3 linked regions of the Diceros bicornis minor genome follow. The protein of the gene in region 1 interacts with the protein of each later gene in a pairwise test. Links are inferred from orthologs where the notes say so. Each region holds a gene or a part of one and is shown in the gene's direction. Other genes may lie near its edges. The genes, in order: GLP1R, CD81 and SLC15A4.

Region 1 (6,938 bases):
GAGTGGGGGGAACCTCAGACCCTCCCGCCCTCCGGGCTCCATTGTTCCATTTGTCATTGTCTCCCCACTCCTGCCCCCAACCTTGGCTGTCCCAGGACTGCCTTCGGGACAGATCCCGGGAATGAGGAGAGGACTTGGGAAGGGGGTAACCCCGCTGGGTGGATCTTTCTTACTAGTCACTCGCAGCTCTTGGGGTTACACTTTCCGGGAGGGGTCTGACAGGCAGTGCGACCTTGGACAAGTCCCATGCGCTCCTCCGGCCTCAGTTTCCTTTGCAGTACCCTGAATAGGGGGGTGTGGATTGGCTTTCCTTAGCCAGGGGAACCTGGGAGGAGGTTCGGGGTGCGGGGGTGGGGGGCAGGGCAAGCGCCCCGGCGGCGCTCAGAGCCGGCGGCCCGGGTCTTGCGCTTCCCAACCCCGCGCGGCGCCCACCCGGAGCGCGGGGCCCGGTGCCTCCCGGCCCGGGACGGGGTGAGGACGCGGCGGGGCGGCCCGGTGACCTCCGACGGCCGGGGCGGAAGACCCGGGACCCCGCCCGGCCCCCCCGCGGGCGGGGCGGCCCCGCGCCGGCTCCTCCCCCGGCGCCCGCCGCCCGCCACCCGCCCGGGATTAGTCGCCGCGCGCGGTTCCGCAGGTGGCAGCGATGGCCCGGTGCTGAGCGCCCCGCCATGGCCGGCGCCCCCGGCCCGCTCCGCCTCGCGCTCCTGCTGCTCGGGGCGCTGGGCAGGGCCGGCCCCCGCCCCCAGGTGAGCCCCGCGGACCCCGGGGAAGGGGGAGGCAGGTGGCGCTGCGGGCTGCAGGCGCAGTGTCCTGGCAGGGGCGGCGGGACTTGAGCGAAACTCCGCGACCGCAGGAGGAGGGAACAGAAAGCTTTGGCGGTAGTAGGGACTGGATAGTTGGGCGCCCTGGACTGGGTGGCCGAGGTGGGCGCTTGGACGGCGGACGACTGTCCCAGCCCCGGCGAGGCGCCCGCTTCCTCGCCGCCGGGGCCCCTCTGCCGGGCATCAGCTGCCCCGCAGCCGCCCTGCGCGGACTTCTGCGCCGCGTCTCTCTCCCCAGACCACTTTCCCGACTCCTTCTCCTCGTAAACCTGTGTCTGCGGCCCCGGCATCGCCCGGGTCTCGCCCCCTCCCCGATCTCACCTTTCCCTCTACCCCCCGGACCCCTCCCCCGCGGTGCATACCCCCTCAACCCGCCCCGTTGGTCAAAGACCCTGAGAAGGCTCTGGGAGGGAGAAGAGGCCCAGAGTGTGGACCCCCAGCTCCATTCCCCCCTCCCCGGCCCCTCAGCACAGCCTTTGACTCATAGCCCCAAAGACCCTGCGGTGGCGGCTTGTTGTCCTTCCCTGTGACCTCCCAGATGGAACTTGAGTGCCCCCCTTCCCCCAGCCGCTGCAGCAAACACGCAAGAGGCTCACTGCTCTTCCGGAAGCAACCAGGCCCCCCTCACACACTCACCTGACCCCCCAGGTTGACAACACACACCAGGGCGCATACTGGGACACGCAGAGGCACCCTGGCCTCCTTGGTGCCACCGGAGAACAGACCACAGGTGGCAGCCCCCTGCAGCTCCCTGTGTGGTCCTCTTCTCCTTCCTGCCTTTCCTGCCCCAGGCTCCTGGGCTGGGGGCTGTTGTCAGCCAGTTTTGGAGAGGGGAGTTGTCCAAAGATGCTGTGAGATGCTTGGGCAGAGGGGAGGTGAGGCTGGGGTGGACTATCCTGTGTCAGGGAACTGTCTTGTCCCATTGCTTCCCACTCCTACCCCTGGACCTAAATAATGGAGAGCTTTGGGCAGTGGGCCTGTGCAGGCCTTGAAATTGGTGCTAGACGAGGGACCATTGCCTTGGTGACGGCTGACTCCACCCCTGGCTGAGAATCCAGATGTGGACAGATGTGCCTCCCAGCAAAGGTGCCAGCCCATTTTCAGTCCCCAAATTCTTTTCTAGACTCATTCTCTCCCTCTCCTTGTCCCCTAGCCCAGCTACTGCCCCTAGCCCCAGGAGACACCCTCCCTGCCATGGCACCTTCCCCCAACACCCCAGCCAGGCCTTGGCTTCCCTGGTGTAGTTGGGATCTTTTGGGAGCCAGGACCGCAGACCCGTTACCCACTTCTCTGTCACCTTCACCTCCTCCTCCAGGCTGGCATGGGATGGAGGTGGAAGGCTCTGCTACCTGGTCCCATCCTGCTCCAGGCCAAGTTTGCAGACCCAGTATGGATTAAGGGAAGAGAGGAAAGGGAAGTGGAAAGGTTCTGGAAGCTGCTTGTCTCCTCCCCAGAGTTCTCTTTCCCAGAGGAGTCGGGCTTCTTGAACCTGCCCCTCCTTCTGTCCTCGTTATTTCTCAGCCCTGGGCCTGAGGCAAGAGCTGAATATCCTGGGGCCATGAGAGGCCTGGGGTGACCGAGCAGGGCAGCGGGAGGAGATGGGCTCTGAGCAGGGAGGGTGGAGCTTCGGAGGATGCTCTTGTTCAGGGGCACTGAGCACCCCTGGCTGCCGCAGAGACCTGAGCGACAGGGGCTTTGAGGTTAGACTGCAATGATTGTGACACAACTTCATGTCCATGTATAAGAAGCTAAAAAATGGTGAATTTTGCCTTCTAGTTTCTGTTCATGAGGTTGCAAGACTGGAGTTACTACCTCCATGTCACTGATGGGAGGACAAAAGCTCAGAAAAAGAGAGTTCTCTGTGTAAGGTGACCCAGCACTTCAGGAACAGAGAAGAGAAAGGGGTGCAGGGCTGGGCTGGTGCCTAATACCCACTTGTCCTGTCCACTCTCAGGTCTGGCCAGGCTGGGAGCCGCTTCCCTGCAGGCGGGTAGATGGCTGAACTGACCTCTGAAGAAGGGGAGCTAGGCCACTCCTTTCTTGTTGCTGGGAGGGACCACCCCCCTTCTCTATTCCTCTATTCCTCCCCAAAATCCTGTGAGGGAGCTGCTCTACTGAGGAGACCGGCAAGCCTTTGACACCCCAAATTAGAACCAGACAAAACTGGGTTCAAGTGTCAGGTCTGCTGTTGGCTGGTGATCTTGGGTAGGACACTTGACCATCCCGAGCCTCAGTCTCCTCATCTGTAAATAGGGATCACAAGCTCTACCACATGGGGTTATGGAGAGGACTGAGACACTGGCACCCTGAAGTGGCAGCTTTAGTCACTTGGGAATCTGGAAGCCTCTCCGGGCTGCAGAACAGGGCTGGGAGAGGGGCCATTGGTCGCCCCATGCCTCTGCGCTCTAGTGAAGGGTGGTTGGAGGCCAGGGGGCGTAGCCATCCGCATGGACTTTATTATGAGCTGGGCTCCCTCCTGGACATAGACCCTGGGCAGGAGCAACCAAGAAACCGCATCCTGCTCTCGGATGCCTTGCTCTGAGGAAAAACAGGCCCTTCCTTAGCTGCAGCCTGCCCCTGGGCAGATTCCTCTGTGTGTGTGTGTGTGTGCGTGTGTGTGATAGACAAATACAGAGATATAGAGATACAGTGACAGAGATAGGTAGAGAGAGACAGACCACGGGAGATGGGGGTGGGCTATATGAGCCCCCGTTTCTCTGTATTTGTTCGTGACCCTGTATGTGACAGTCTGTCTGTGTGGGAGTCACTTGTGTGAAACATCTCAGCATGTCATTGTGTGTCTGACAGTGTATATGTGTTTGTGTCCCCGTGTGAGATACTGTGTCTATGGGAAGGTCTATGTGTGTGTGTATATGTTTGTGTGTGACACCTTAGTGTGTGAACGGGTGTCTGCCAGTATGTGTCCATGTGTGGGTGAGAGATGGTGTGCTTGTGACAGAATGTGTGGGTCTTTCTCTGGATGTGTGTGTGTGACAGTGTGAGCTGAGTATACATCAGTCAAGGGGTCTGTGTGTGTGTGCACTGAGGGGCAATGTCTCAGCATGTGAGTGTGTGCCTGACAGTCTGTGTGTTTGTGTGTGTGAGAGAGGCTCTGTGTCAGTGTGTCAGTATGTAAGAATGTGCTGGACAGTGTGTGTGATAGTGTGTGTGACCGTGTATCCATGTGAGGGTTCTTACACATGTGGGAACGTGTGTACAGTTTTCTTTGCCCTGCCCTTCTGCTCAGATATCTAAAGCCCTTAAGAAAAAAAAAAATGACTTCAAAGAGCCGGGGATCCGGCCACCCCACCCCTGCAGGGCTCCGGGGCCAGCGGTGATGGGGTGATGGTTTGAGCTCTGGGAGGTGGGCAGAGGGGAAGGAGGCTAGGAGTCCTGGGAGGAGGCACTGGGGAAGGTGAAGGGCTGCATCAAGTTGGGAGGTCCCAGCAGTCGTCCTTGGAGCCCACTTTCTCCTCTTGGGATGCCCTCTTCCATTTTTCCCACCTCAGTGGGCCAGGGAGGCCAAGGTCTTGAGAGCGACCACTCCATCTGTATTCTTCTCCTTCTGCTCGTCCTCCTTCCAACACGGCCCACTTGTACAGGGCTTAATAATTCATGAAGATTTTCACCTACTTTGTCTTGCTGGATCTCTACAGTAACTCTCTCAGGATAATGATATGCCCGTTTTAAGATGAGGAAACTTAGGCCCCAAAAGATTAAAATGTGTCCCATCAGTCCCACTTGAACAGACAGAGCTGGGATTTAAACCAAGGACTCGTGACTCTCTGTCCAGTGCTCTCTCTCCTGCACACCACTCTCTCCTGGCATCCTCTTCCTCACCACCTGCTTCTTCCTCAAACTCCTAAATCCACCCCCTCCTTACTGTAAGCTCTACCCCAGGCATTGTCCCCGTTCATCTTCATCCCCATCAGAGAGACCGCATGAAGCCTGGCAAGACCTGATTCTACAATCTGCCGGCCTACCCTCACTCTGGCCTCTTACGCCCCTCACGGCTGCCTTGTTCTCTGGGCCAGCTCTGCTGCCCTGTGAGGGCAGGGGCATCCGCCACAGTGTCCTCCCCACCACCCAGCGGCTTGCAGCAGGGACAAATGTCACAGGAGGATGAAATGGGGCAGGGGTTGGTGGCCAGGGCCTTGCCCCTCCTCACAGTTCCCTGCCCATGGGCATGGAGTCCCGAGTGTCGCCACTTGGCTTTGACACTGGCTGTGGTTGCTGCTGGAAGATGTCACAAATTGAGCAGAATGATTGGTCCTTGGGCATGAAAATATGTTCATTTCTTCCTTCTGGGAGTCTGTTGATCCTAGAAGTGAGGGAGGGGAGGGGCCCAGATTCCCCAGGAAGCCAGGCTGCCCGGTGGTCCACTCTGCCAGCAGAAATCTTGAGAACCGCTGCCACTGACTATGCATTTTCCATGTGCCAGAGGCCGTTCTAAGCATTAACTCACTTAATTCTCACAACAATCCTGGAGGGTAGGGTCTATTATTATTCCCATGTGGCACCTGTGCAAGCTGAGGCTAGAACTTAGAACTTTTACACAAGATCACAACCTTAATCTATGGGGGAGCCAGGATCAGGTGCGGATCTGAGCCCAAAGCCAGGGCTGTTCCCCCTCCTCTGTGTCACCTGGGCACCTGGGCACTGCTGCACTTCCCCCTCAGACTGCATGGCCCCCAGCGTTGTCCCAGACCAGAGCCTCACATCTGTCCCAGGTGCAGCCCACCGCTCTCTCCCTGGTCTAGAAACTCTTCCTGAACATCAGTTCAAGGCTTTCCTCAGCTCCCCAGAGCATCAGTGTCCCCACTTCTGCAACTTTGTCCCTGCTGAGCCCTCCTGCTGAAATGCCCACCCTCTGCCCTTGCCAGCCCAGTCTTTCCCCCACCCACCCTTGCTTTACCCCCAGCTCTGTCCCCAGGGTCCCCCAGGGCTCTCCATCTACACTGAGCCCTGCCCGAACCACTCCCGGAGCACTTTTACTACAGCCTTCTCTGTTAGGTCCTGCAAAGCATTTGACCCCACCTCACCCCCAAATAGTCTGGGGACTCTCTCAGGCCAGGGCTGTGTCCTTCTGTGTTCCACATGTCCCCCCACCCTGCACCACCACCCAAAGCCTGGCACGGCAGTGGCTTCCAGAGACACCAAGTGGGGAGAGAGCAGAGGTCTGGGTAGTGCGTGCTGTGTGTGTTGGGGGTGGGGGTGAGCAGTATTTGGAGACCCTGAGCTGGAGCAGGGAGAAGGCAGAGGATCCCTGTTGTCAGGAACCCCTCTATCTGAGGGGAGAGAGAGAGAGACAGCCCTGCCCTCAGGGGGCCCCAGTCTGAGGGGGGACACAGCCCGGCCCTCAGGGAGCCCCAGTCTGAGGGGAGACACAGCCCCGCCCTCAGGGAGCCCAGTCTGAGGGGAAACACAGCCCCGCCCTCAGGGAGCCCCCAGGCTGAGGGGAGACACAGCCCCGCCCTCAGGGAGCCCCAGTCTGAGGAGAGCCAGCCCTGTCCTCAGGGAGCCCCAGTCTGAGGGGAGACACAGCCCTGCCCTCAGGGAGCCCCAGTCTGAGGGGAGACATAGCCCTGCCCTCAGGGAGCCCCAGTCTGAGGGGAGACACAGCCCTGCCCTCAGGGAGCCCCAGTCTGAGAGGAGACACAGCCCTGCCCTCAGGGAGCCCCAGTCTGAGAGGAGACACAGCCCTGCCCTCAGGGAGCCCCAGTCTGAGAGGAGACACAGCCCTGCCCTCAGGGAGCTCCAGTCTGATGGGAGACACAGCCCTGCCCTCAGGGAGCCCCAGTCTGAGGGGAAGACATAGCCCTGCCCTCAGGGAGCCCTATTCTGAGGGGAGACACAGCCCTGCCCTCCGGGAACCCCAGTCTGAGGGGAGACACATCCCCATCCTCAGGGAGCCCCAGTCTGAGGGGAAGACATAGCCCTGCCCTCAGGGAGCCCCAGTCTGAGGGGAGACACATCCCCATCCTCAGGGAGCCCCAGTCTGAGGGGAAGACATAGCCCTGCCCTCAGGGAGCCCTATTCTGAGGGGAGACACAGCCCTGCCCTCAGGGAGCCCCAGTCTGAGGGGAGACACATCCCCATCCTCAGGGAGCCCCAGTC
Region 2 (7,601 bases), on another chromosome or scaffold:
TTGAAATGGGAAGTGTGAGTCCAACAACTTTGTTCTTCGTTTTCAAGACTGTTTTGGCTTTTCGAGATCTCTTGCATTTCCACATGGATTTTAGGATGAGCTTGTAAGAAGCCAGCTGGGATTTTGATAGGGGTTGCTTTGAAGCTGTAGGTCAATTTGGGGCCTGTTGGCATCAGAACAATATTAAGCCTTCCGATCCGTGAACATCGGATATCTTTCCATTTATTAGGTCTTCTTTAATGACTTTTGACAGTTCGGTAGTTTTCAGAGTGCAAGTCTTATGCTTTTCCTGCTAAATTTATTCCAAGCTATTTTGTTCTGTTTGCCACTATTACAAATGGGATTGTCAGGGCTGGCCCGTGGCGTAGTGGTTAAGTGCGTGCGCTCCGCTGCTGGCGGCCCAGGTTCGGATCCTGGGCGCACACCGATGCACCTCTTGTCAAGCCATGCTGTGGTGGCGTCCCACACAAAGTGGAGGAAGATGGGCATGGATGTTAGCCCAGGGCCAGTCTTCCTCAGCAAAAAGAGGAGGATTGGCATGGATGTTAGCTCAAGGCTGATCTTCCTCACCAAAATAAAAAAAAAAATGGGATTGTCTTCTTAATTCCATTTTTGGATTGTTCATTGGTAGTGTATAGAAATAAAACTGATTTTTGTATATTGATCTTGTATCCTACCAATTGCTGTACACATTTGTCGGTTTCCATAGTTTTTTTTGCAGATTGATTTCTTAGAATTTTCTATACACAATATTATGTCATCTGCAAATAGAGATAGTTTACGCCTTCCTGTCCAATCTGGATGCTTTTTATTTCTTCTTCTTGCCTAACTGCCCTGGCCAGAACCTCCAGGACAATGCTGAATACAGGTAGGGAGAGCGGACATCCTTGTCTTGTCCCTAGTCTTCAGGGAAGGCTCAAGTCCTTCACCATTAGGTATGATGTTAGCTGGGGGGTTTGTAATGCTCCTTATCAGGTGAGGAAGTTCCACTCTATTCCGAGTGTTTCCATCATGAAAGAGTGTTGGGTTTTGTTAAATGCTTTTCCTGCATCTACTGAGACGATCACATGATTTCTGTCCTTTATTCTATTAATACGGTGCATTACATTGGTTGTTTTTTGGATATTAAACTCTTCCTTTTTTTTCTTTTTATTACTATAAAGCTGTGCCCGTCCAGCTCTGCCTTCGAGTCTCTGCCAAATGCAGGGAGGGCGGCTGACCCCCGTGATATAGCCAGCTCGGCATAAACAGCCCCTGTCAGCTTCATCTGGGTGGTCCTCGTTTATTTCCACAGGAAATCAAGGCAGAGGGGCAGGAATCAAGACAGGACAGAGTGTGTGCCCCCAAGAGAGCGGTGAGTCACCAGCCCTGGAGCTGTGCCTGGCGGACAAGCCTCTCTGTCACACAAGCTTAAAGGAGGCAGTGACCTCCTGCCTCCCAGGGCCAGGCCCTGCTCCATGGGCTTGCGAATATCCTCGAATTCCACCCACCCAAGAACACGAGGAGTAGCTCTACCGCAGACGGGGAAACTGAGGAACCAGACCAAAGTCACACGGAGGGGCAGACTCCGAGCCAAAGCCGGCTGGGCAGCAAAGGCCTGCTCTTCCCGCCCTGCTGCTCGCTACCTGACCCTCACACCATCAGCCCCACCCACCCTCAGGTTAAAGTGCAGGGAGGGGTCTCCCATCTCAGGCACGCCCTGGCCCCTCTCTCCCTCATTCTTTGTGCAGCCCATCTGGGTGCTCATCCACGCATCCTGGGGCAGGGATGGAAGATCCACCGTCTGACTGGCTGACAACAGGAGCCTTTCCCAGGACGCAACCCCAGTGCCCACCTGCCCCTGGATCACACTGGCACATGTCCTTTCATTGCTGCCTGTGACATTTAGTGTTGCGTCTCAACGTGACTGGCCACGGGGTGTCCAGATAAACATTATACCTGGGGGTGTCTGGGAGGGTGTTTCCAGGTGAGATGAGCATTTGAACTGGTGGACTCAGGAAAGCAGATGGCCCTCCCCAGTGTGGGTGGGCCTCGTCCAGTCCCCTGAGGGCCCAAATGGAACAAAGGCAGAGGAAGGAGGAATTCACTCTTTTTCCTGCCTCACCCCTTGCGCTGGGACATCTTAGCTCGTCTTTTCTGGCCCTCGGACTTCGATTTACACCATCTGCTCTCCTGGGTCTCAGACCTTCAGACTGGGACTGAATCACACCACCAGCTCTCCTGGGTCTCCAGCTTGCAGACAGCAGATCGTGGGACTCCGCAGGCTCCATAATCACATGAGCTAATGCCTCATAATAAATCTCCTTTATCTCTTCCTGGTTCTGTTTCTCTGGAGAGCCCTAATACACTGCCAGTGGGTCCCCTGTGGTCCTCACAAGGTCAAGTTAATGGGCCACTGGACAGGGCACTTCAGAAGTGGTCCCCTGGGAGAGCCCCCATGTGCCAGGCACCTGGAGGCAGCCCTGTACACCCTTGCAGCCCATTTCCCAGTGAGCCCCCAGGTGCCCGTGGGAGCCGGTTCCACTGGAGAGCGGAGGCAGCCTGCTGCCATCCGTGTTCCCATTCAGTCTGAAGCCAGGCCTGAGGGTCTCCTGCAGAAACCCTCCAGCTGCTCCCACTGCAGTCAGAATCAAACGCAGCCTCACTCTGGTCTTCACCTGTCCCCTGACCTCACCACCTGCCCCCAACCTCAGCATCTAGCCTCTTCTCCATCCCTATGCTCCCATCCCACTGGCTTCCTTTCTGTCCCTCCAACCTTGTCCCTCTCTGCCCTGAATGCTCTTCTCCAGGCCCTACAGGGCTGCCTCCTTCTCAATCTTCACAGCCTGGATCCATTGTTCACTCCTGCAAGCCCCCACACTGGAATAGTGCCCCCCATTCTGTGACTCTCTTTCAAGCATCCTGGGAATTCCCTCCCTTCCCAGTATTGACATGAGCATTGTGGGGTGACATCTGTCTTCGAGGGAAGGGGTCTTGGCTGCCCAGCTCCCCACAGCCAGCGCGTGCAATGGTGCCTGGCACACAGCTGGCACAACTAAATATCTGACGCCCGCCTGAAGAGGAGGAAGACAAGTCGGCGGGGCATGACCTGCTTTGGGGATGGTGGAGCAAGGACGCAGCGTGCATGGGTCTGCCCCCGCCCCTGCTCCCTGAGGGTGGGCTCAATGTCCTCCTCTGCCCCCTCCCCAGAGGGCCCAGGGAAGGCCTTTCTCTGAGGATACAGTTCACACTTTTGGCAGGAATGTCCTCATCACTGTGGGAAGCAGGGAGCTGATGGCAGAGCAGGGCGCCCAGGACATGTAGACATGGGTTCCTCACACCGGAGGCTTGCTCTGCCTCCTTTGCAACAAAACACATCCTGGCAGATGCCCAAGTGAAGACTTAAGTTATTTTTATTCTAGTGTCACTTCCACACGCACAAACATAACACTGGGTATCAACATGTGCTTATGGCTCTCGTAAAAGCGTGAAGCCAAAACAAATTTTAAAATTAACCACCAAGAAAACTACGAAACTAATAGAGTACAGATGAATACCATCGGGCTGCTGGCTAACATGGTAGCCACTGGCCGCCACGGCCACTCACGTTTAAACTACAACGAACGACGATGAAAAATTCAGTTCCTTGCTCGCGGCACTGGCCGTGTTTCAAGCGGTCAGTGGTCGTTTGTGCTACGGCTCCTGCAGACACACAATGTTTCCAGCTCTTCATCTTCACGTCACCTGGGGACAAAGCGCCCCTCACTTGATATGGCACCTCTCCACTTCCTCATTGCCCAGGCAGTGAGGGCAGGAGGCAGTGGGTGGGCCTCCCTGGGCTACTGGCACCATCAGGGTGTCCATGAAATACACAATATTTGGAGGTTCTCCTATAGGTGTCTTAGGCCTCCTGGACACTTAACACTGGTCTAGGGGACACCCTCTCAGCGACCTTTCCAAACACTGACTCCTCTAACAGCGGGCAGCAACTCCCCCTGTCCGCGGGACAAGGGCTTGGCTGCCTAGAATTTCGCTGTAGGATTTTCAGGCCAGGCCCCCTGACACTCAGGCTTCACCCAGGTCCTGTTCCCAGCGAGCAATGTAAACAAAGCTCGCGGCTATCTTGGCATAACCATCACCAGCGCATCATCTCCTCCAGGGAGCCTCCTTGGATATCCAAGGAGCCTGAGGGAGGAGAGAAGGAGAGAGGGAGAAGGTCTTCCCTGGCCACCCCTGGCGGCAGGCCTTTCCTCAGGCGCAGCCCCTAGTAGAGGCTCGGGGCGCGCCAGCGGCTCTGGGACGCCTGCCGCGCGCCGAACAGAGCGTCCGAGCCCCGTGGTGCTTGCGGCACTGAGGTCCTCTTAGCGTGGGCACGACGGAGGAGGGGTTGCGGGCCGCCTCGGCGGAGGCCGGGCTGGGGACCAGACTGCAGCCCCTGCGCGCCCGGCAGGCGGGGGGCGGGGCGGAGCGGGATGAGCGGGGCCGGGAGGCGGAGCCTGCCGGGCGTGGGGGAGGGTGCGGCGCCCGATAAGTGGTGGAGCGGAGCGCGCGCCCGCCCAGAAAGCGAGCGCGCCCCGGCCAGGCCTCCTGCGCCGTGTGCCTCTCGTCTGCGCGCCTCTTACGCCCCCGCTGTCGCTTTCAAGCCGACCTCTCGGCCCCCGGCCGCTGCTCGCCAGGCCCCGGCCCCGCCGCCCCTCGCCCAGGACCGGCCCGCGCCGCCATGGGGGTGGAGGGCTGCACCAAGTGCATCAAGTACCTGCTCTTCGTCTTCAATTTCGTCTTCTGGGTGAGCCCCGGCCGGGCAAGGGGGGGCGGGGCGCGCGCCCCGAGCACCGCAGGCCGCGCGCCCCGCTAGGCCCCGCAGAGGGGGCGCAGCCGGGCCGCCAAGTTGCTGGGCCACCTGTGCGCGCCGGGCGCGGGGCGGGGAGTCCTGGGCCGGTAGGCTGCGACGTTAGGGGCCGTCTGGGGCCGCCGCGCCGCTTTACGGTGGGGCGGGGGGCTGCGAGCCGGGTTTCGGGGCCTCTGCGCGTCCGGGCCCAGAGCCCCGCGGCCGGGCCGGGGCGTTTGGGCGCCTCGGGTCTGTTACCGATTGGTGATAGTCGGGGTTGCGGTGGGTGCGGGCTCTGGGCCGCGTACCCCGCCGCCGCTCAGCCCACCTGGCGCTGTTCCTGGGACCACCCTGTTTTGCGAGGATGGAGAGGGGGCTCGAGGGCGGGGCTCCCGGCGCCCCGCCCCCATGAGCTCATCGAGGCCACCTCCCCTTGATGGTCGGCCGGGTGAGGAGGGGGGCGGGGGGGTTGCGCACACTCCGTCCGAGTCTTGAGGAACGTCCACCCCACTCTTGGCCTAGCCCAGCTCACCCCCCAGTCTGCTGTCGCCATCCTGGGGATCGTCCTGGGGGTCCGGGCCCGGGGCGGAGCTCAGACAGAAAGCGCCCTGGGCCCTGATGGCCCGTGTGCTGGGGTGCTTGCACCATAGTGGCCCCGGTTTGTGTGGTCCGGTCCTCTTGCCCTCCTCACCCAGACTGAGATTCCATCCCAGCCTCGACCCCCGGAGCTTTGAGGGGAGTGGGGTCCGAGCCTGCGTTCTGAGCTGGCACAGGGCAGGGGGCTGTGAAGACCTGAGCGCCTCTGAACTCTGGGGGCCTGGGTCCGGGTGGGTGCCCAGATCCGGGCTTGGGCATCCACTTTGGAAAGAGGAGCGCCACAGGGTGGTCATCTCTGGGTGCGGCAGGGTCTCCCCGGGGTCCCCAGGCTGCTGGCCTGAGAGTTGCGTCTTCCTGACCTTATTCTTAATCTCTGCCCAGTGACTGATGACGCTTTTGCTTTTGTTTCTGTTTGCTGTCGATGTTGGAATGGGGAATGGGGTGGAGATCTCTTTTTGGCTTGGTAGGCCCCTGGATGGGTGTCAGGAGCTCGCTCGATGGCCGTGCCCTGCCTCCTCTCAGTGCTCCCCTGGGCAGTGACCAGGACCCCCTGCCGGGCCCCCTCACTGCTGCTTTGCCACCCCAGGCTGCTCACCCCTTCCCACTGAGGACCAGGGTGATGCCTGGGGGGTGGCGTATTTTTCAAGTTGACGCAGGGAGGGTGAACTTTTTAAATGGCCCCTGGAGCCAGTGTGTGGGACTGGGGACATGTGCTTGCCATCTGGACGGCCGGTGATCTCAGGGCAGATCTCGGGGCAGTGAGGTATTTGGGGTGGGGAGGACAGAGACTGGACTAAACTCTAGCTGGGGGTGGAATGGGGTGTCACATCCTACCTGGGGTGGTGTCGGTGTGGATTTGGTGTTTGCCTCCTTTGGCCCAGGCAAGTGGGGAACAACGTCCAGACACCTCTCGGCTGGCCCCTGAGCCCATCCCCTACAAGCAAAGCCTGGATGTTGGGGCGAGGACCCCGGTGGGGAGGTGGAGGGGAGGCAGAGGAAGGGAACTTCTCCAGGAGTGGATTCTTGCCTGGGGCTAGATGTCAGTGCGGGGCTAGGTGTCAGTGCGGGTGGCAAGTCCCTCCCACCTGCCCAGCCTGGGAGGTCTCCAGGACGGGACCCCTGGAGCTCAGCCTGGCTGAATCTGATAGTTTCCCAGGCAGCTGGGATGGAGGCCTTGCATTCCGGCCCGCTTTCTATTGAGGCTTAAGGAAATGCTTCCAAGGCCTCTCCTCTCCCTTCCTGGGGCCTGCCCAGCTGAACATTGAGAACTGGAGCCATCTATAGTCACCATGGCCCCACCCACCCATGCTGGGCCACCCCCTGCAGTGGGGAGATGCTGGGCTGAGCCAGGCGGGGCTGCCGGGCACCACCGTGTCAGAGCTGCTCTCTGCCCCCTGGCATCTCTTGGCTGAGAGCATGGTGCAGGGGCGAGTTTGGCCGGGTGGAGTCCCCACCCCACTGCTCTACTGCTCTGGTGCTCTGGGTCCTGGGCCTCAGCTCCCTCCCCTCTGAAGTGGGAGTCCTCAGACTCCTCTCTCCTGGGATTGTTGGTGGATCAGCTAATGGGAGTAGAGGCCACGCTCAGGAAATGGATGTTGGGCAAGGTGGCTGGCCGGGAAGACAGCCAAGGAGAGCCAAGCCTGTTGGTGTAGGCAGTGCCTCGGGGAAGGGGCTTTGGGTGCCTGGGAGGCTCCTGCAGGGCCCAGTGGCTGAAGGAGGGCTCCTGGTGCCTAGCCTGACTCCTCACCGTGCACCCCGGCCCTAGTGCAGTAAGGGGGTGCTGAGGGCAGGAGCCAGGAGGAGAGGTTGATAATAGGTATCTGGATAGGGGCACTTTTTCAAGTTCCGTATTAGAGAGTAAAAAGGCTTCCCGCGTGGGAGGAGGCATCAGAGGCAGTCTGGCATGCTTCTGCAAAGAGGAACCCGGTCACCCTGCATGCCCACACACATACTTGCTCCCCCACCCTCTGCACAGAGACCCCAGGGCCCCGTGCAGTGTGCAGTCAGCCTGCCTGCCCACAGCCTGCTTTGGGGCTCCCTGGCTGGGCAGGCACCGGGCTGGGAGGTGGGGACAGGACAGGAAGACAAGAGCAGCCACCCGGCCTGGGCGGGGGAGACAGTGCAGACGCTCCTTCCTGGAGATCCTACCCCTGGGGTGGGACCAGGAGATTCCTGGCGGCGGCAGTGGGCACTCAGA
Region 3 (7,920 bases), on another chromosome or scaffold:
AAGGAGAGTCAAAAGATGGATGACATGGCCTGTGGCTCTGAAATGGCTACTGACTTAGGCCATGGCCTGATGCATAAAGATGAGCTGGGCCTATCAGAGGCCCTCTGCAGGGAACTGGGAGACCAGAAAAGCAGAAGCCTCGGACATGAGAGCTGACACTGAGCTGTCGTGACGTATGGAGTAGGTGCTCAACAGTTATTTGTTGACTGAACGAGACAGTGATGTGCAGATGGCACAGAAAGTCTGTGATGGGTACTTGGAAACCAGCCTTTTGAGGAAGCTGAAATTGGGAATAAGCAGCTGCAACTGTCTGGCAGCAAGGGGTGAGCAAGGCAGATGTGAAACAGGAAGCAGAAATGTCGTGAGAAACGCTGGAGGAATTAGATGGCCCCTGAAATGTCCTCCGTCTCTGATGGCTTCTGGATTCACTCCATCAGATAGCATCTTCTCTGAGCTCCACTCACTGAGCAAGGCACAAGGGCCAGAGAAGGAAGGGCCCTGCATTTCAGAGCAAACAGTGCATTTCCAATTCTGGTCCACACTGCAAGCCTCCTTGCAGTAAGGTCCTCTTTCCCAGAAGGCCCTTGAGGTGAAGAGGCTACCCACAAAACTGTGTTTTGTAAGACAATGTTACCCATCCCCTAGACACCTGCTGTATGAGTCAGGTCATTATTTATTTGATTATTTTAGGTGCAGAGACTCATACAATTATTTTCAAGAACAAAGGTGTATTACAAGTATACCCAACCAAGTGGTGAGAGTCGACTTACACCAATTCCTTAGCCGTACAATCATTGGGGCTCAGTACAGGGGCTGCAAACCGACTGATTACAGGGGCCAGGCAGAAAACTCTAAGACAAATTAGGCGAGGCATGAGAAAAAAGTCCAGTTTCCCTATTGTTCGTTCTTTTATTTTCCCACTTTTTGGTAGAATCACAATAGGCGACTTTTGGCTACAAGTAACAGAAAGCCCAACGCAGTGGCTTAAACAATATAAGATTTATTATCTTTTGTTATCTAACTTCTCCCTTATTATCTTTTGTTATCTAACTTCTCCCTGGTTCTCTACCGTGCCATCCACAAAGCTGGCTTCGTCCTAAACTGCTTCATCACACGGTTGTGAAACAGCCGCCAGCAGCAGTGAGGGCTCTAGGCTTCCTGATTCGTGCCGTTTGGAAGAGTGTTTCTCTCTCGCAGTCATGAAATCAGAGTCCTTTCCTTCAGCCTGACTGTGCCAATTATGTCCCTTGTTCTCTCCTGGGCCCCAGGGGAATTTCACGTTCTGATGGTCAGAGTCCAGGCTCCTGAACTCGTCACTGTGAAGAGGCATGAGAGAGTAGCATTGGTTTGACTAGTCGGATCCAGAAATGAAGATGAAAGTCCTTTCTCCTGAGCCACAGGGGCAGCTGGTTGGGAACAGGAGTGGGGTGAGGAGGACAAATAAAGACCTAAATAGAATCAGGAGTCTGTTTGGAAGGAGAAAGGGGGTGTGGCTATTGGATAAGCAATCAATAGCGCTAATCACATATTAGTATAGAGCAGGGCTGTCCAACAGAACTTTCTGCAATGGTGGAGTTGCCACGTACTGTGCCATCCAATATGGTAGCCACTAGTCACATGTGGCTATTGAGCACTTGAAATGTAGTTGGTATGATTGAGGAACAGAATTTTTCATTTTATTAAATTTGAACTAATTTAAGTTCAAATAGCCACACGTGGCTAGTGGCTACTACACTGGATAGAGCAGATACAGAGAACACTTTCCCTACTATAAGAAAAATAAGACAACAGAGCATGGGGAGGATTTGTGTGCCCCACCTAAAGACAGCAGCTGCTCCCTGGTGTCGTCAGAGAGCGGCCATGGGGGAAGCAGGTGTGCTTTCATTACCTGATGATGCACAACAAACCTACCCAGAAGTTAGCAGGTTAAAATCAACTGTTTTATTTGTTCACGATTCTGCAATCTGGGTTGAGGCTCAGCTGGGCACTTTTTCTGTTGGTCTTGCTGACAGTTATGTGCGTGGCTTCACTCAGCTCGCAGGTTGGCTGGGAGGCTGGGGCAATGGGACCCCCTTTCCACGCAGCTGCAGAGTCTCCCTCCATGTGTGACCTCTCCAGCCAGGCAGCTGGACTTCTCACATGGTGGTTCAGGGCTCCCAAGGCACAAAATGGGAAGCTGCCAGAACTTCTTACGGTTTAGGCCCAGACCTGGCCCAGGAACACTGCTGCCACATTCTCCTCGCCAAAGCAAGCCACAGAGCCAGCCCTGCGCGACGGTGACCTATGAAGAGTACGTAAGGGCACAAGTGCCAGAGATGTGGTTCAAGCAGAGTGGGAGGTGGTCACTGGTGTAACAGGCATCCGCAAGTCCCAGTGCTGCCAGAGCTCCAGTTTACTCTTTCAACAGCAACAGGGCATCCAAATTGATACGTGAAACCTCCCAATTTTTAACCCTTAGCTCATTTTTTTGGCAAGAGCCCTACTGAGACATAATTCACATACCATATAGTTCTTCCACTGAAAGTGTACGATTCAGTGGTTTTTAGTATGTTCACAGAGTTGTGCAACTATTACCACAATCAATTTTAGAACATTTTCATCACTACAAAAAGAAACCCCATGCCCTTTAGCAGTCACTTCCCCGTCTTCCCATCCCCCCAGCACCTGGCAACCACACCACCAATCTGCACTCTTTCTCTACAGATTTGCCTATTTTGGACATTTCATAAGAGATGGAATCTTGCAATATGTGGTCTTGGCTCTTTTTTTTTTTTTTAAACACTGCAGCCAAACCCAAACATTTCTGCCTGCTGGCTTTGTTTTGCACCCTCAGGGTATCAGAGACTGCAGTGCACAACAGACCTCCCCAGGACCAAGAACAACTGCTCAAAACTCCTCAGGGTACATCCTAATCTCTGAAACCGCCTCCCCTCCCTTTCTTTCACTTAGCTTTAGGCTCCTTTTTTTTAATTTATTTTTTTTGTGTGTGAGGAAGATCAGCCCTGAGCTAATATCCATGCTAATCTTCCTCTTTTTGCTGAGGAAGACCGGCTCTGAGCTAACATCTATTGCCAATCCTCCTCCTTTTTTCCCCCCAAAGCCCCAGCAGATAGTTGTATGTCACAGTTGCACACCCTTCTAGTTGCTGTATGTGGGATGCGGCCTCAGCATGGCCAGACAGGCGGTGAGTCGGTGCGCTCCCGGATCCAGATCCGAACCCAGCACGCCGGCAGCGGAGCGTGTGCACTTAACCGCTAAGTCATGGGGCTGGCCCAAGGGGGGGGGGGTAGTTTTTTAGTGAACTTAGCATACAAATATATGCCGCAGAACGCCACAGGAATATAAAAAAAAAATAGGTGAACATAACATGTTCTTCGGACACCATTTACAATTCAACAGGTATTCATTCATTCATTCAGTTAATTCCACAAATATTTATCATTGGCAGGTACTGCGCTACATTCTAGGTATATAGCAGGGGACAAAACAAGCAAAATCTCTGCCCTCCTGGCTTTGAAGAGAGAGATGTTTCACAAAATAAATAATTATAAATTATAATGGGTGCTGTGAAGAAAAAAGCAGAGCATGCTCTAATCACCTATAAAAAGAGCTGATCTAATCTGGGAGGATCAGGAAAGTGACCTCTGAGCTGACAGCTGAAGAGGACCAACATTAACAGGCAGGGTGGCGAAAGTCCTGTTCTGGCATCAACTATTCTCTCCTTAAATATTAAATATTTACCTACTGCCTGCCCTGTGTCAGCACAGTGCTGGGCATCTAGAGGTCAGACGTAGGAAAATACAAAAGTTAATAGTACATGCTACTTCAAGCCTTTTTGGAAGGACTACTTACCCGGATGACCCACAGGCAAGCCCACTTCCCAGCTGACGGCTCCATCCTGGTCTTAGCTGGAGTTAAGGATGGAGGAAGGAAGAGGAAATGGCCTCCCACTAATTCAATCATTGCAGCGTGGTCCCAGTTTCTGCAGCGATGCCGGGGTCTGTTTTTGGAGGACCCTCTTCCACCCCACCAGGTGCCAGGCAGTTGGCAGGTGCCGGGGACACGGTAAGGAACAGGACACCCAAGAACCTGCCACCATGGACCTTATACTTGTGGGGACCGCATACAAGCTGGGAAGACAAAGCAATAAACGAAACACGTGGCAGGTGCTATGGAGAAACTAAAACAGGGCAGTGGGATGGGGGTGGGAGCCACTTGAGATGGCCTGGTCAAGAAAGGCTTACAAGGAGTCAACACTTGAGCTGAGGGTCGAAGGAAAACGGGAAGCCAGCCGTGTGACGACACAGGGCCTGAGCCTGGCTTGTCCTAGGTCAGAGGTTCTCAGTGGGGGCGACTTTGCTGCCCACGGGACACTCGGGAATGTCTAGGGACACTGTTGGTCGTCAAAACTGGGGAGCAAGGGTGGAACTGGCATCTAGCGGAGAGCAAAGGCTGGGGACGCCTCTGACCGTCCTCCGAGGCACAGGACAGCCCCCACGACAAAGAACTGTCCACCCCCATATCAACAGTGTGGAGGCAGAGACCCCCGTCCTGGGGCGGGGCGGCAGGAGGCTGGGGCGCAGGGGCGGGGCCACCTGAGGAAGTCAGCCTGGAGGGCAGGCGGAGCCCCGAAGCCACCGTACGAAGTCTGGGCTTTCGAGGGGACGGTGGAAAACCTAGGAGAGCAAGGCTCTGATTTCGCTTGTCACTGACTTCTGGGGGCAAGACGGCGGCCATGTTGCCCCACTGAGGCGGAAGCGGGAGCCCGACCGGGACTTCCGGGGTGGTGCCGGAAGTCCCCGTCGGGCTGCGCGGCGGCCAGCCCGGCCAATGGGGACGCCCGCGGGGCGTGCCGCGGCGCCGGCGGGGCCGGTCTCGCGAGAAGGGCGGCGGCGGCGGGCAGAGCGGCGGCGGCGGCGGCGGGCGCATGGAGGGCGCGGGCGGCGAGCGGGCGCCGCTGCTGGGCGCGCGGCGGGAGGCGTTCGCGGGGCGGCGCGCGGCGTGCGGCGCCGTGCTGCTGACGGAGCTGCTGGAGCGCGCCGCCTTCTACGGCGTCACGGCCAACCTGGTGCTGTTCGTGAACGGGCCGCGCTTCGGCTGGGAGGGCGCGCAGGCCAGCCAGGCGCTGCTGCTCTTCATGGGCCTCACCTACCTGGTGTCGCCGTTCGGGGGCTGGCTGGCCGACGCTTGGCTCGGCCGCGCGCGCGCCATCCTGCTCAGCCTGGCGCTCTACCTGCTCGGCATGCTGGCCTTCCCGCTGCTGGCCGCGCCCACCACGCGCGCCGCGCTCTGCGGGGCCCCGCGCCCCACGCGCGTCCGCAACTGCTCGGCGCCGGCCTGCGCGGACGAGCCCTCCCGCTACTGCGCGCCCGCCGTGCTGACCGCGCTCGCGATCGTCGGCCTGGGCGTGGGCGCCGTCAAGGCCAACATCACGCCCTTCGGCGCCGACCAGGTGAGCGCGCGCGGGGCGGGGCCGCAGGGGCCGGGCGGCAGGTGGGGCGAGGACGCGTGAAGCCGAGCGCCAGGACAGGTTGCCGTAGGCGCTGGGGAGGGGTCCGCACGGGGCGGGGCGTAGGGGTGGTGGCGAGGGGATGAGCTCCTTTCCACTAAGGGGCCATTGGGGAGTGACGACGAGGGTGGCTGCAAATAGCGGGGGCTTCCTTTCTCTTGGGGGGACATATGAGTGGAGACCTGAAGAGTGTCAAAGGAGCTTTGGGGCTTGGGGATCAGCAAGTGCGAAGGCCCTAGGGCCGGGAAGACAGGGACGCCGTCCTTGCTGCTGTAGTAGCTACAGTGGCAATCATGTTGCAGTGCGTAAATGTATCAAGTCACCAAGTATTGTACACCTTAAACTCACACAAGCTTATGTGTCAAGTATATTTTAAGACAAAAGAAGTGGGAAGAGGGATGGTAGGCAGGGGCCAGGTCCTCTAAGACTTGTAAAAGAGTTTGAAGTCTGTTTTGAATACAGTAGGAAGGCTTCATGGGGTTTGAGCAAGGAAGTAATGTGATCTGATGTGTATTTCCAGTACAGGGGCCTGGCAGCTGTGGCCTGCCAGCCAAATCTGGTCTACTTCCTGTTTTTGGAGGACCCACAAGCTAAGAATAATAATGGTTCTTAGGTTATTAAACGGTAGGATGAAAGTGAAAAGAATATTTTGTGACAACTTATATGAAACTCAAATTTCAATCTCCATAAATAAAGTTTTATTGGAACACAGTCCTGTTTACATATTGCCTATGCTGTAGCCGCTTTCACAGTACAGTAGGAGAATTGAGTGGTCATGACCGAGACTAGGTTGTATGGGAAGGGATGACAGTAAGCATACCAGGTAGGAGTCTGTTACGCTGGCCAGGTGAGAGCTGGAGATTTGGACTAGAATGGAGGCAGAGGACATGGAGTGAAGTGGGTGGATTTAGGATAAGTTATGGAGGTAGAGTGGGCAGGAATTGCTGGAGGATCATATGTGAGCCGTAGGGACAATAACTCCTAGGTTTAGGTGCTAAATACCCATATGATTGCTAACATTCACTGAGGGCTTACTATGCACCAGGCCCTGTGCTAAGTACTTTGTGAGTGCACAGGACACCGCTGCTGTTATTGTGCCCGTTTTACAGATGAGGAAACTGAGGCTTGAGAGGTTGGATCATTAGACAGCTGGTACATGAAGAGCCAGGATACAAGAGCCTGTCCTTTGAATCTGAGCTTTGACCATACCTGTGTAAGGCTGTCCGTTATACCTTATAATGTTGTTGGAAATAGTAGTTGCCGGATGTCCTGAATTCTCCCTTCTCTGCACCATAGAATGGGCTTTATGTACTCAAACTCATTTGAATCTCCTCATGTGAATCTTACAGCCATTTTTCAGATGAGGACGCGGAGGTGCAAAAAGAGATGCTTTCTTTGTTGTCCTGTAGGTAGTGAGTGGTCAGGCCAGCGTTTTAGTCCAGGTCTGATGTCTTCATCTGTATTTGAACCACGGCACCAAGATGGGCGTTGCATGATGGTGCAGCAGAAGCACAGTCGGTGCAGAGATGATCTCAAGGCCCAGGTGTGTGGCTTTGGCCTCAGGGTGCCATCGGCTCACAGGCCAGCAGTGAAGTCGCAGCACTGGGAGCACAGTTCTCCCTCTTTAAAGACCAGGCCGCACAACTGAGGGGCCACATGAGTTGGTTATGCCCGAGAGTGTACTGCGTGCTCTTCCTACACTGTCTTATCCCAGCCTCACAACAATTGTGTACTGTAATTGTCCCTGTTTTACAAGAATCAGAGGCTTAGAGGGTTTGACCTGCCAGGGCCACAGCCATTGAGCGAGGGAGATGGGTTTGGACCCAGGCAGTGCAAGTTAAGAGTTAGTGCTCTCCAGTAGATGAGAGACAAGTAATTAGTATTTCTTAAAAGAATGAATGGTCCTGTAGAGGTTATCTAGAATGCATGGCAGAATATGCACTCTTGATGTGTAACTAAATGTGGATGTTAAAAGGATGCTCTGTTCTACAAGGTAACTGGCCTAATCTCTTCAAATACGACACTTTGATGGAAAAAAGAGGACCACTCTAGATTCGAGGATATTAGAGAGACTTGGCAACCAAATGGCACGTGTGTTTTGTGGTTGGATCCCAGATTTTTTTTAAGCCATTTTTGGGGACAATTGATGATTTGATTATAGACCACATATAAGGTAAAATTGCATTGATGTTACGTTTCCTACGTGTGATAATGGTTTATGGTCAAGAGAAGATTGGCCTTATTATTAGGAGATTCATGGTGAAGTCTTTGGGGTGAAATATCATGATGCTGCCACTTATTTTTAAATAGTTCAGCCTAAAAGAGTATTTCATACATATATATAGAAAAAGAGAACTGGGGATCTAAGTGAAGGGTATAGAAGTGTATGTTGTACTGTTTGGTCAGCTTTT

The links.
Region 2: the proteins of GLP1R (region 1) and CD81 interact in a protein complementation assay, tested with the Homo sapiens proteins (2 studies listed by BioGRID). The link is inferred for Diceros bicornis minor from reciprocal best matches to the Homo sapiens genes GLP1R and CD81.
Region 3: the proteins of GLP1R (region 1) and SLC15A4 interact in a protein complementation assay, tested with the Homo sapiens proteins (2 studies listed by BioGRID). The link is inferred for Diceros bicornis minor from reciprocal best matches to the Homo sapiens genes GLP1R and SLC15A4.

The regions. Positions count from the first base shown.
Region 1 is NC_080753.1:26,132,828-26,139,765, reverse strand, and holds the start of GLP1R (glucagon-like peptide 1 receptor), read left to right. Parts: upstream 1-3,873; coding exon 3,874-3,885; intron 3,886-6,938.
Region 2 is NC_080770.1:2,345,083-2,352,683, reverse strand, and holds the start of CD81 (CD81 antigen), read left to right. Parts: upstream 1-4,566; 5' UTR 4,567-4,699; coding exon 4,700-4,765; intron 4,766-7,601. UniProt on the Homo sapiens protein: Structural component of specialized membrane microdomains known as tetraspanin-enriched microdomains (TERMs), which act as platforms for receptor clustering and signaling.
Region 3 is NC_080774.1:3,579,364-3,587,283, forward strand, and holds the start of SLC15A4 (solute carrier family 15 member 4), read left to right. Parts: upstream 1-4,893; 5' UTR 4,894-4,927; coding exon 4,928-5,452; intron 5,453-7,920. UniProt on the Homo sapiens protein: Proton-coupled amino-acid transporter that mediates the transmembrane transport of L-histidine and some di- and tripeptides from inside the lysosome to the cytosol, and plays a key role in innate immune response.